Anolis sagrei: one gene and its partner. The protein of the gene in region 1 interacts with the protein of each later gene in a pairwise test. Links are inferred from orthologs where the notes say so. Each region holds a gene or a part of one and is shown on either strand. Other genes may lie near its edges.

Evidence for each region.
Region 2: the proteins of HOMER1 (region 1) and C4H1orf116 interact in binary tests that used the Homo sapiens proteins (3 or more experiments, as listed by UniProt). The link is inferred for Anolis sagrei from reciprocal best matches to the Homo sapiens genes HOMER1 and C1orf116.

What each region holds. Positions count from the first base shown.
Region 1 is NC_090022.1:266,017,417-266,024,271, forward strand, and holds the start of HOMER1 (homer protein homolog 1), read right to left. Parts: upstream 3,009-6,855; 5' UTR 1,024-3,008; coding exon 1,019-1,023; intron 1-1,018. UniProt on the Homo sapiens protein: Postsynaptic density scaffolding protein. Binds and cross-links cytoplasmic regions of GRM1, GRM5, ITPR1, DNM3, RYR1, RYR2, SHANK1 and SHANK3.
Region 2 is NC_090024.1:196,183,428-196,191,127, reverse strand, and holds the start of C4H1orf116 (specifically androgen-regulated gene protein), read left to right. Parts: upstream 1-4,693; 5' UTR 4,694-4,806; intron 4,807-4,881; exon of another isoform or gene 4,882-5,005; intron 5,006-7,700. UniProt on the Homo sapiens protein: Putative androgen-specific receptor.

The DNA.
Region 1 (6,855 bases):
CACTCTGGATCTTCCACAAATATATAAACCCCAGGCAGGAAGCAGGCAGGCTTTGAAGCTGTGAAGCCATTAAATGCTAATCAAAGTAGCCAAATGCAACATTCACACTTGCCTCAAACAGACATGAGTTCTTTCTCCCACCCTGGACCTTCCACAAATATATAAACCCCAGGCAGGAAGCAGGCAGGCTTTGAAGCTGTAAGGCCATTCATGGCTAGTCAAGGCCAAATGCAACATTCACACTTGCTTCAAACAGACAAGAGTTCTTTCTCCCACCCTGGACATCATTCTACAGATATATAAACCCCAGACAGGAAGCAGCCAGGCTTTGAAGCTGTAAGGCCATTCAATGCTAGTCAAGGTGGCCAAATGCAACATTCACACTTGCCTCCAACAGGCAAGAGTTCTTTCTCCCACCCTGAACATTCCACAGATATATAAACCCCAGACAGGAAGCAGCCAGGCTTTGAAGCTGTAAGGCCATTCAATGCTAGTCAAGGTGGCCAATTGCAACATTCACACTTGCCTCAAGCAGACAAGAGTTCTTTCTCCCACCCTGGACCTTCCACAGATATATAAACCTCACTTGCCTAGTTTCCAATATACCTCACAATCTATGAGGATACCTGCCATAGATTTGGCCAAAACGTCAGGAGAGCATGCTTCTGGAATATGGGCATACAGTTTGGAGGAAACTCACAGCAACCCAAATGTTTTCTGGCTCGTGGTTCAAACTATCCAGTAGTATTTAAGATTAGCCATGCCCAAACCTTAATGGGAAATGGGATTCATTGGTGCTGTCACATATCTCAGTGCTGCTGGCCTAGCAAGACGTTTGGGAGACATTCTGAAGTTAATCTATAGCTTCCCCAGTTAACCATACTCCTTCCTCCTCCTGGGCGCCCTTTAATGGTCTGGCCTGCCTTCTTCCAAAGACGGGCATGGCAAGGAAAGAAGGAAGGAAAGAGAGTGGACGTGCTGGGCTCAAAACTCCCCGATCCCAGGAAGAAATCCTTACCCCATGATGGCCAGTGAGACGAGCGTTGTGAGTGTTTTGGATGGATAATTCCTACAAGGATCTTTTGGTTTTTTCCCCGTCCTCTGGCCTTTCCCACTCAATGGTCCGGTGAGCAACGCGGACACTCCTCTTCTCGCCTTCTGCCGTGGTGTGTCTGTCTCTATAGATCCCACGCGAAACCCAGGTGGCCCCACGCGCCTCGGAGGCAGGCTTTTCAAACGCTAGAGTCTACAGGCATGTGGGAGCGGAGCCAGGGGGAGAAGGAAGGAAGGAAAGAAGGAAGGAAGGCTCTCGCTCTCTCTCTCTTTCGGTGCCTACTAGGAAGCCAGTCCGGGAAGCCTCTCCCCCATGGCCTCGGGGCTGCCCCTGCCTTGTCCTGCAGCGTGGGGTCCAGGGGCAGCTCCAGCTCCTCGCCAAGGAGGAGGAGGAGGAAGAGGAGGAGGAAGAAATCCCCTCCTTCTGCGGGGAGAAGGAGGAGGAGGAGGAGAGGCGCGCTCCTGCTCTCTCTTCTTATCGGCGAGGATTAGCAGCCCAGATGCTGCCTCCAGCAGTCAGCCAGCTAGCCAGGCAGTCAGTCAGTCAGTCCTCTGGCCCGGGAGGCGCTCCTTCTCCTCCTCCACCACCGCCGCCGCCTTTCCTCCGGCGCAGCGCGGGATCCGGGGGCTTGCGGTGTGCGCAGCGCCGCCCTTCTTCTTCTTCCTCCTCCTCCTCCTAACACCCCCGCCAGCACCAGCAGCAGCGGCATGGGGGGTGTCGCTTCATTTTCCCAGGCAGGAGCAGCAGCAGCAGCGGCAGCAGAGGGAGGAAGAGGAAAAGGAAGCCGTTCCGCCGGCGCTGACATCGGGCTCCGGGAGGAAAAGAGAGAGAAGCGGCGGCGGCTGCAAGGCACTAGCCGCTCATCCCCTGCGCCAGGGATGGATGGAGGGACGAGTGGGGAAGGCTACACTGGGGGAGGAGGAGGAGGAAAAAGGGGAGGAGGAAAAGGGAAGAGGAGGAGGAGGAGGCGGCTCCTTATCCCGGCGTCGCCTGCTTCATTCACGCCTGTCCCCGCAGTGGGTCTGCCATCTGCTCGGACGGGGAAGGAGGCAGGCGCACATTCATCATTCCCAGCAGAAAGGGAGGAGGAGGAGAAGGAGGAGGAGGAGGAAGAAGAGGAGGAGGAGGAAAAGGAGGAGGAGGAAGAGGAGAAGGAGGAAGAGAGGAGGAAAAGGAGAAGGAGGAGGAGAAGGACGAAGAGGAGGGAGAGGAAGAGAAGGAGGAGAGGAAGAGGAGAAGGAGGACGAGAGGAGGAAGAGAAGGAGGAGAGGGGAAGGAAGAGGACAAGAGGGGGGGAGGACGATGAGGAGGAGAAGAAGAGGAGGGGAGGAAAGGAGAAGGAGGAAGAGAAGGGGGAGGAGGAAGAGAAGGAAGAGGATTAGAGGGAGGAAGGGGAAGAAGAGAAGGAGAGGAGGAGGAGGAGTGGCACCGAAGCAGCAGCAGAAGGGCCAAATCCGCTGCGGAGAGGGCAGGGGGAAGGCGGAGGCGCAGGCAGAGGAGGAGGAGGCGCCTTTCCCGCTCGCTGTGCAGAGCCCGGGGTCAACCCGTGGCGCCTGCTCCTGCTCCTCCTCTTCTTCACACCTTCCTTGCTCGGCTCTGCCTTCTCCCGCTCCTCTCCGGCTCTTGCCCTCCGCTTCTCGGCCCTCTCCCACCGCGGGGAGAGGAAGGCAGGGGCAGCGAGGCTGGAAGGGGCGCCCAAGCTAGCTGCCCGTTTCCTCCTCCTCCTCCTCCCTCTCTCCCACCCACCGCGGGGAAAGGCAGGGGCTAAGGCTGGAAGGGGAGCCCTGCTGGTCCCGAGAGGCTGCGCCGCTCAACGCTCCCCCTCTCTCTGTCTCTCTGCCTGTCGTTCTCTGTGCCTGGCTCTACTCCACAGCGACGCTGTCAGGAGCACCTGCTTCCTCTGCCTCCATCCTCCGCTCGGGGGACCTTTAAGTAAGGAGACGTCACCACGCTCCCCTACGCACCCGGCGTCACCCACTCCGCTCCCGGCGCTGACGTCACCGGGGTGCGGGGGATGATGTCAGAGTGGTCCACGCCGCCGGAAGCGGGGCTATAATAGGGAAGGCGGAGGGGAAGGCGAGCCGAGCCCCCCTCCGCAGTTCCCCCGCAAGGAAACCAAATAGAGTGCATGCCCAGGAACCCAGGGCTTGCCTCTTCCTCGGTAACGTAACTTTGCAAAATGGGGAAGGCAGCGTGGGGAACGAAAACACATACACACAAACACACACACTGCTTTCCTCCATTGAACATCGAGAAAACCAAAGTGCTCTTCCAGCAGTCACCAGCCAATCACTCTCCAATGCCAGAAATACAGCTTAATGGTGTAACATTAGAAAATGTTGACCATTTCCAATACCTTGGCAGCCACCTTTCCACCAAAGTCAACATTGACACCGAAATACAACACCGCCTGAGCTCTGCGAGTGCAGCTTTTTTCCGAATGAAGCAGAGAGTGTTTGAGGACCGGGACATCAGTAGGGATACCAAGGTGCTTGTCTATAAAGCTACTAGCTGTACCCTGCCACGCATTGCTGTGGCCTATAGTAAGAATTTTCGAAGTAGAGGTAGATATCTGGACTGTTATGAAAGAGAGGTACCTACCTATTCCTTCCCCCTTTTTCTTCCCTTTTCTCTCCTTTCTTCCTTCTCTACCTCTTTCTTTCATTCCTTCTTTCACTCTTTGGTTTCCTCCCTTCCCTCCTTTCTCTACTTCCTTTGTCTCCTTTCTTCCCTCCCTGTTTCCATCCTTCTTTCACTTTTTATTTCCTTTTCTCCTTCCTTCCTTCTTTACCTCTTTCCTTCCCCCCCCTTCCCTTTTTCTTTCCTTACTACTTTCTCTTCTTCCTTCCTTCAGCACCTTTCTTTCCTTCCTTCTCTCCTTCCTTCTCTCTTTCCTTCCTTCCCCCTTTCCCTCCTTCATTCCTTCCCCTTTTCCCTTCCTCCTTTCTTCTCTCCTTCCTTCCTGTCTCTTCTCGCTCAATACCATGGTAGAGTCTCTTCTAAGTCTATTCTATGAGTCTATTTAATATAGTATTATATAGTAGTAACATTATATTATATAGTACTAGCTGTCGCCTGCCATGCGTTGCTGTGGCCCAATCTGTGTATATGTGTTGTGTGTGTGTGTACATATGTATGTATTGTGTGCATGTATATTTGTGTATATGTGTGTGTTTGCATTTATATATGTGGTTTTGCACATGCGTTGTAATGTATTTTTTATTTTTTGGCTTTTTAAGTCTTCTGCTGTGTTTTTCAGTGTTTTTATGAGTGATGGTCACTCCTTGGTCTGACTTTGGGTGCATCTACACTGTTGATTTAATAAAGGAGAATGAAGCTGGTGAGGGGAGGAGAAAAGGAAGGAAAGAAAGGGAGGAAGGGAAGGGAGGTAAGGAGAAGGAAGGGAAGTAGGGAAGGGAGGGAAGGAAGGGGTTGGACCTGATGGCCTTTAGGGCTCCCTTCCAACTGGTTGGTCATCTGTTATGAGGGCTTTGATGGTGTCTTCCTTTACTGCCAAATGAGGTTGGGCTGGATGGTCTTTAGAGCTCCTTTCCAAGCAATGTCAGTTTCGTGTGTAGCTGTAGAATTTGAAGAGGCATGAATGGAGGGCAAAATGGCACCTTCCTCCTTCCCTTTTCCTTTGGAAGTGTGTGTGTGGGAGACAGAGTCAGAATGTGTGCACAGAGTGTGGCATGCCTCCCTCTTTTTTCCTTCCCCCCTCTCTCTCCTCCTCCCCTCCTCCTTCTCCTCAGCTTCTGCCCTTTGATCCTTTGCCTTAGTGTTAGTTAGGGGCTGAGAGACACACAGGGAGCAGCAACCATTGCCACCCCTGCTGCTTTGGAACCCTCATTCTGTGTTCTCAGCGTGAGGGGGGCAGGGGAGGTGTGTTGTCTTCTTCCTTTTTTTAATTTAAAGGTGTTTTGTGGGGTTTTTTTTCAGTGATGGTCACTCCTTGGATTGTGAGAAATTTTGTTGCCAAATTTGGGGTCATTTGGCCCTGTAGTTTTTTTTTGTTTTTAAGGTACTCATTATTCACAGAGCATTTATATATAGGTAGATTGTCCTCCCAACCCTGTTATACGCCTACGAAACGTGGACTCTCTACAGACATCACATGCAACTCCTGGAACAATTCCATCAGTGCTGCCTCTGGAAAATCCTGCAAATCTCTTGGGAAGACAGGCACAATTAATACTTTTTGATACCACTTTAACTGCCATGGCTCAATGCTATAGAATCCTAGCATTTGTGGTTTGGTGGGACGACAGCACTGTTTGATGTGGTAGATAAGGGGTTTCCCCTGACATTAAATCCAGTCGTGTCCAACTCTGGGGGTTGGTGCACATCTCCATTTCTAAGCCGAAGAGCCGACATTGTCTGTAGATGCCTCCAAAGTCATGTGGCTGGCATGACTACACGGAGCGCCTTTACCTTCCCGCCAGAATGGTTCCTATTTATCTACTCACATTTGCATGTTTTCAAACTGCTTAGTTGGCAGAAGTTGGGGCTGACAGTGGAAGCTCACGCCACTTACCGGATTTGAACCTGTAACCTTTCGGTCAACAAGCTGAGCAGCTCAGCAGTTTAACCCACTGCATCACTGGGGGCTCCTTGTGTTGCTAAAGTTGTAAAATTACAACTCTCATGATTCCATAGTATTGAATCATAGCTACATTAATTCTGAGCAGATGCAATTTGCGATGCTGGAGACCAAACCAGAAATCCCATGACTCCATAGCATTGATCCATGGCAGTTACAGTGGTACCAACCTGCATTAATTCTTCTGAGCAGATGCAATTTGTGAAGCTGGAGACCAAACAAGAAATCCCATGACTGCATAGCATTGGCCAAACTACATTAATTCTTCTGTGACTCTGGAGATCAAATCCCCACTAGATGATTTTGTGTAAGTCACATGCTCTCAGCCCAATCTGAACGAGTATTACCAAAAGACCATGACAGGCAGGCCCGTAGCCAGGATTTTGATTCGGGGGGGGGGGGGGGGGCTGAGTTTGATTCGGGGTGGGGGGGGGCTGAGTCTGAGTGAAAGAGGGTCTACCCTAGCAAACTTTTTGTATCGTTACCCCAATACCCCCATGCATATGAGATATATTGAGCATAGTGATCAGATCATGATATGAATAAACATAACAGTTTGAATAATATACCAGTAAGGCCTTCTCGCAGACCAACATGAGAATTTAGTGAAGCCCCTCAAGCCCCCCCCCCCCCCCCCCCCCCGCAGCTACATGCCTGATTATAGGTTTGCCTGAAGGCTATCACAAGTCAGAAACAAATTGAAAGCACACAATAATAACAAGTAAAACAACCAATTCTTTAAAATTAAACTTTGGAGATGAGTGCCATTCAGGTTTTCCTTCCTGTGCTTCAGTGGTTTCCTTTCAGCGGAGGTAAATTCATTGCTCACTCTTTTCCTCTTGCGGATATTTGATGGCTGACATTATCCATTCTTTGCCCACATTTACCCTTCTGTGGTGCTGTTTAATTAATATACTCCTGTCTGATTGAATCTTGTAATGTCTCAGTTTACATATAAGACACGAAGCCTAACCGCCTCAACTGCCATTCTCATGGAAACCAGTCCAGAACCTTTTTCACTCCAGAAGCACAGAAAAAGGACATAATTTTCACAACCCAACTTGTTTCAGGTGAATTAAGGAAAATGCCCAAGTTGTCTTTATAAACATTATGACTCCAAATGGGAAGGAGATGGTTTTACTTAACTTCAGGACTCTGAGTCCTGATTACCTAATGAAAGCTAAAATGTCTCACAGGAAAC
Region 2 (7,700 bases), on another chromosome or scaffold:
CAGCAACAAATTATGCAGAAGAACAACATGCCAAATGAAGGTGGTGCCTGCGAACACTCATGAAATACCTGAGAAGCCAGAAGAAAGGAACTGTTGTACCTGAAAATAGTGGCAGCTTGCTTCTCTGTTTGAAGTACCTGGCAGTCTCTCAAGTTGGAATGATCAGAAAGAACTGCCTTGTTTCATGAATCCATTGTTCTTCGTTGCCTAGATGATCTTTCCAACCGGCATGGGTTGCAACGTCTGCTTCACCACTGCAATGTCATTATATATGTTTCCTGTGTTTAATATTACTTGGGATGGAGAGAGAGCAACAGGCTGAGAGAACTGGCGAAAAACAAAGTAAGGCTGCATCTACATTGTAGAATGAATGCAGTTTGACACCAATTTAAGTGCCATGGCTCAATGCTATGAAATCCTAGGCATTTTAGTTTGGTGAGGTACCAGCATTTTTGGGTAGATAAAGCTAAAGACCTTATAAAACTATAACCCTCAGGATTCCATTGCATTGAGCCATGGCAGTTAAAACAGTGCCAAACTGCATTCATTCTATGGTATATATCAGGGGTGTCAAAATCATTTTTACCAAGGGTCACATCAGTCTTATGGTTGCTTTCGAAGAGCCACCGTATATAAATGTAACTATTTGCCTGGCATTGAAAGCCTCACAGGTCACATAAAATGATGCAGAGGGCTGGATTCAGCCTGTGGGCCTTACGTTTGATAATGTGGTATAGATGCAACCCAAATGTGTCCGCGATCTCCCAGGGAAGGCTATGTGTTACCAATGGGATGGATCTAAAAAAATAATTAACTGCTATTGTAAATAACACATAATGGAATTGAATTACAGCTCATCACAACTTTATTTTAATTTCAATATGTAAGTCTTTAGGTTTCTTGGACTGAATGCAGGTTTAGGCATACTTACAAATAAGTCTCACAGAGTTAAATGCATCTTATTTCTAACTGAGTATAGCACTGTAGATTCAGGGAACTTCCAAGAGTTTCATTTTGGTCATCCTGTGTTGAATACACAATAGTGGCAACTTCAAATTGTAATTCTTTTGTGCTTTTCAACTGCTGATTCCATACAAAACTCATTAAGAAAGGAAAGAAAAAATAACTACTGTGCACAGTGTCTCGAACTTACTGAAATTCTAAAGGTCTGTTTGTTGGAGCCACAATTTTCTATTTAAATCACAATGGCAGTTCCACTGTTATTACAACTGAATTTTCTGCTACTGACATTACTTCCAGGCTTTCCGGCACTGTCCAGGATTTGTCCAGTCAACTAATGAGGAGGTACGATGGAAAAACAGTAAACTGCCCATTATTATTATATTCCTTCTACTGTCAGAAACAGATATGTCAGGATTTCTTTTTTTGCCTCAGATCCAGAATAATGTGACCAGTCTTATGTTCTCTAAAACTTGATACACAAATAGTGGTTGCATTTGTCACACCTCCTCAGCTGCAATATTTCTTGTGCTGGCCTTCATCATTAGTATTTCCAACTGTCTCCGTAAACAACGCTGAAGCACTGCATGGGTTGGGATTCAGTCCATTAACTGTGGCAATGTGATTGTATTATGTCACAGTATGGTTTCAGTTTCAGCCACATGATGTATCTTTAGGACCCAACCCAAGTTGGTTAATGAAGGAAATATCTGGAATGTGAGAGCTGATCCATATATCTAACTATAAGCCATTTTCTTATTATATTCCCATTACATTGCATTTTAGTGGTAAACGTTGCATTGAATCACAAGGAACTGTGTAAATCCTCTTCACATGCAAGATAGAGTTCTGTATCATGTGTAAGATTCAGTTCCATATCACATGAAGATCATCTTCTTCACTTTAGAATTTGGCCATCAAGCAAAGGAAAATTTTAAAAAGGTAAAGGTTTTCCCTAGACGTTAACCTTAGTTGAATCCAACTCTGGGGAGTGGTGCTCATCTCAATTTCTAAGCCGAAGAGCTGGTATTGTCTGTAGACGCCTCCAAGGTTATGTGGCTGGCATGACTGCATGGAGTGCCATTACCTTCCCGCCAAAGTGATACCTATTGATCTCACATTTCACTGTTTTCGAACTGCTAGGTTGGCAGAAGCTGAGGGTAACCACAAGAGCTCAGCCCATCCCACGGATTCAAACTGCCAGTCTTCTGGTCAGCAAGTTCTGCAACTTAGTGGTTTAACCCACTGAGCCATCACAGCCCCAAAGGAGAATACTAATATCTATATCCTAGAGAATAAGCTCACCACTGTGTTTGAACATAGTAGAATTAATGCCGCTTGATACCCCTTAAACTGGCATGACTAAATGGCATGCTATGGAATCATGGGAAAGGTAGTGTTACATGGTCTTTCTCCTTTCCTATTTAATAGTACTGGTGTTTCAACAAAATACAGCTCACACAATTCCATAGCATTGCTCCATGGCAGTTAAAACGGTGTCAAACGGCAATAATTCTGCAGTGTAGATGCACCTAAGCTCTCCTGCCCACAGCTATGAATTCAATCTTGCAATGAATGGTTATGAAAGTCTGTTTGTTCAATGATAATATTGGCTGGTTCCCAGGAACTTCACTAGTGCACAATGCAAGCTAAAGCTGCAGTCTATCAATTTGTAATGAGACTTCAAATAATGACATGTACATAGGATAGGTATGTAAGAACTGAAACTTTTCCAGATCCATATATGTCACCTGTCAGCTTCTGGCGACTGCATATATTTCATGGGGTTTTCTTTGGCAAGGAATAATCATGTAGTTTTGCTAGTTCTTTCCTCTGAAATATAGCACCTGGTATTCACTGGTGGTCTTCCACCCAAGTACTAGCCAAAGTTGATCCTTCTTAGCTTCCAAGATCAAACAAGAGCTGGTGCATTTGGGGTGTTTAGGTCCATATCCCACCATTTCATAGGTGAAAGTTGAGACTTGGCCAAGTAACATAAGAATGTGGTGAGGATGGCAAAAGTTATAAATGAGGAAGAATACATAATTCAGGAGAGGCTGTAGCAGTGCCTCTCCTTTTGCCTGAACCTACTGGGTGTGCATCTACACTGTAAAATGAATACAGTTTGACATATTAATTGTCATGATTCAATACTATGGAAATGTGGAAGTAGTAGTTTTACAAAGATTTTAGTCTTCTTTGCCAAATAGGGCTGATGCCTCATTAAGCTACAATTCGCAGGATTCCGTAGCATTGAGCATGGCAGTTAAAGTGATGTCAAACTGCATTAATTCTACAGTGTCCCTCTTTTGCATTTTAATTTGCATGAATTGGTATAAGCAGATGATAAAGTGGGGAACTGGAAGGAGGGGAGAGAAAACTGGAGCATTTTAAAAACAGCTGAAGAACTGAGATAGCAGAGAATTAATTAGGACTTTCCTTGCCAAATTAGAGTAATGTGAGGCTATACAAGCAGTGCTAAATGTGCACACTAGAATAAATACAAGCAGTCTTTACACTGTACATGTATAATAATTTCAGGGGTCATGATATTTCAATATTATTAAACTATAACTATAATCCCATTTACTAGTTATGATAGTTTCATGTGCATAAGGTGCCGTCCTATAACATAACAGACATAGTATTGCAACAGCCAGGTAACATTGCATATAGTAAAGGTAAATGTTTTCCCTCGACGTTAAGTCTAGTCCAATTCCAGGAGTTGGTGCTCATTTCCATTTCTAAGCCAAAGAGCCATTGTCCATAGACACATTCAAGGTCATGTGGCCAGCATGACCGCATGGAACACCGTTACTTTCCTGCCCCAAGGAGCCCCTAGTGGCGCAATGGGTTAAACCCTTGTGCTAGCAGGACTGAAGACCAACAGATCACAGGCTCAAATCCAAGGAGAGCGTGGATGAGCTCCCTCTGTTAGCTCCGGTTCCCCATGCAGGGACATGAGAGAACCCTCTCATAAGGATGGTAAAACATCAAAAACATTCCCTGGGCAACATCCTTGCAGACGGCCAATTCTCTCACACCAGAAGTGACTTGCAGTTTCTTAAGTCGCTCCTGACACACAAAAAAAACCAAAAATCTTCCTGCCAAGGCGGTACCTATTGATCTACTCACATTGGCTGTTTTTTAACTGCTAGGTTGGCAGAAGCTGGGGCTAACAGCGAGAGCTTACCTTGCTTCCCGGATTTGAACCGTCGACCTTTAGATCCACTGCGCCATTGAGGGTTCCACATTACATATAACCATTCTGGAAAAACTCTGGCACTACACAGCAAACTCTAATAGATCTGAAGTGTGTATGTATATATGAGAAGATCAGTTCCGTGTCCTTTTTTATGGGGACAAGCCCCAATGACCAAGGGAAATATACAACTGTCTTCCTAACAGATGTACATTTGGCAGATTTATTATTGTTGTCTTCCCCTCTTTCCTACTTCAGAGGGCAGCATCTTCTTTTAATTGCAAAAACATTTCACGTTAAGAAATGTACCTATGTAAGGGTGTGTCAGTGTGTTCATAGAAAATGTTTGCCTTTTTGCTCTACACTGAACTGACAAAACCTAGAACTGAGTAAAGCATTTGTCAGGAACTCCTTGATCTTGCCTCCTCCTCCTATGGAGAACAGCTGGAGTGAGGAGTTTAGGGGAGTGTATGTGATTGGTTCAGACTCAGCAGAAGGGTGGAGTGAAGAAAGATAGAGGAGGAATTTACCTGTCTAGGTAAGTCAGTGGGAGGTCAAGAAGAGCAGGGAGAAGGCGGTGTAGCTCGTTTCGTTGTTTGAGTACACAGCAAAATACTTGGAACTGTTTCCATTTCCTAATACAGGTGAGTTAAACTCTAACTCAACTATTTACTTAGGAGGGTAAATAGTCCCTGGATTTATAAGTACAAATACCTGGCGCTTGTGCAGTCCTGCCTTTATGTTGTCTCTCTCTCTCTGTGCTATCTTCCTTGGTTTTACTCTTCAAGACATCTTTGGGCTGAGGAAGGCTTATGGAAAGATTTACAGATCTTCCTTGTGAATGTAAGTCAAACATAGTGCAAAAGCCAGCTAGGGGAATCCTTGCTGGTCACAATCCTTGTTGCTTTAAAAAAGACTTCTAGGATTTAAACCAGTGCTTTAACAATAACTTCCTTTTCTTTGCTGTCTATTCAGAATTATGAATGAACAGCAGAAACTTGCTGCTGGAATAAGAAGAGCAGGCATTCGTTTTAAGAAATAGACATGTTTGCTTTTTAACATAATTCTCTTTTTTTATAAAATGCCTTTTTAGGTGTTGGGAAAGAAAGACTGCTGTTCAGACTCTAGTAACTGGAAAATTTGACTGAATCAACAATGGTTCAATCATAAATATTTTTTAATGTGTAATGGGAGTCGAATTTTGCTTCTTATCAGATAAATGCAGGCAATTGTGCATGTTTGTAATCTGATGTTAAGTAGCTGGGATTGTGCAGATGCATATTTGTAAAGGATATCAATCAGAGGTTTGTCTTTTATGTGTAGAGAAATTGCTGTTGTCTACAGTTAAGCTGTTGGTGCATGTATGGAAGAGGCTTTCCTTGCCTCTTTTTCTGATGTGTTTTGGTAGTTGAGGAATAACAACAATGTTACATTCTCTGTGGATAAATCTGGACAAGTGTGCCCAGACAATTTTCTATTAGTGTTTATTACATTGTTTCATTTTATGTATATATGGTATTCCATCTGAACATTAGGAAGAACTTCCTGACTGTGAGAGCCGTTCAGCAGTGGAACTCTCTGCCCCGGAGTGTGGTGGAGGCTCCTTCTTTGGAAGCTTTTAAGCAGAGGCTGGATGGCCATTTGTCAGGGGTGATTTGAATGCAATATTCCTGCTTCTTGGCAGGGGGTTGGACTGGATGGCCCATGAGGTCTCTTCCAACTCTTTGATTCTATGATTCTATGATATATAGGAGTATATAGGACACAAATTCTTACTTATTAGAGTTTTGAAAGACTTGATCACTGATTTCAGTTTCTAGGGAATTACTGTGTGATATATGGGACCCCACGGTGGTGCAGCATGTTAAACTGCTGAATTGATTAACTTGCTGACTAAAACGTTGGCAATTCGAATTCAGGGAGTGGCGTGAGCTCCTGCTGTTAGCCCCAGCTTTTGCCAATCTAGCAGTTCAAAAACATGCAAGTGTGAGTAAATCAATAGGTACTGCTCTGGTGGGAAGGTAATGGTGCTCCATGCAGTCATGCCGGCCACATGACCTTGAAGGTGTCTACGGACAACACCGGCTTTTCGGCTTAGAAATTGAGATGAGCACCCCCCCCCCCCCCCAAAGCATGCATGTGTGAGTAAATCAATAGGTACTGCTCCGGTGGGAAGGTAATGGCGCTCTATACAGTTATGCCAGCCACATGACCTTGAAGGTGTCTACAGACAACGCCGGCTTTTTGGCTTAGAAACTGAGATGAGCACCACCCTCCAGAGGCAGACTTAATGTCAGGGGAAAATTTTACCTTTACTTTTACCTATATGGTTCTATCTGCATAGCTATTTTGTGAAGCTTGAAATTGAAACAAGGCTATAAATCTCTGCTAAATACAGCAAGTTGCATGACAATTATTAGCAGTTATGGAGGAAACAGTGACGTGTCCTTCAGGCCTTATCACACTGCACTGTTATAGTGCTATTATTAAACAGCTATGGAAGCATTCAGAGGAATTCTTGAGTTTGTAATTTAAAATTTTAAAATCCTCTCTGGTTGGAAATTCTGAATGTCCCTCCCTCAACTGCAAATCCCAGGATTCCATAAAATGTTGCCATGGCAATTAAAGTGGAATACTAACACTGCAACATTGTAGTGTGATAGAGTCCTCCCTCCCGTCTTGGGACGCAATCCATTTTTGGAGCATGCACTACTTCAATAGCCCATATATTGCTTTGCTAGAGATGGTAGACAAACACATTTGTGTGCTTTATTCAGTTGTTTGCAGTGCAGTTATTAGCAATTTTTGGAGAAGTGCCTGAAGGTAGTCAATAGTTTTCAAAGATCCAACAAGTTTATTTATAATTAAGAGTTTGTTTTAATTGTAAAGTGACCCAAAGTGTTAAGAAATATATAAGAGACCTGGCACTATGGCTTGACAGCTATGTGAGACATCTCATTCCTTTTTGCTATCACAGAGAGCAAGTAAAAGTTGTAGGATTAAAGAGATGCTGTACTTCTCAGAGATTCAGAATTTATGCACAACATACCTCCTTTCTGTCTGTTCTGTCCTGTCTGCCCAAAGAGCATTGAATATTTGCCACGTATGTGTACTGTGATCCGCCTTGAGTCCCCTTGGGGAGATAGGGTGGAATATAAATAAAGTATTATTATTATTATTATTATTATTATTATTATTATTATGTAAGTCTGCCTTAAAATGTTTTGTAGTGTGCTAGAATCCACTTTAGTTGGAATTTGCATTATATATCTTAACTACTTCTACAGTCTAAGAAATGACTATTTCACATAATAAGTTGTTAGTAACTTTATTCATAATATTGGATCAAGTAGAAATTGGGACATAGTGTGATTTAATAACCATTGTATAAGACTAGGAGAAAATGAAGTGTAAATCCCCACTTGCCCATGAAGCTTGCTTGCTTGGTCACCTTGGACCAGTCATGAGCCCTAGACAAACCTGCATCGCGAAAATACATGGGAATGAGAGACTCGTGTGTTAAGTGATGACCCATTGG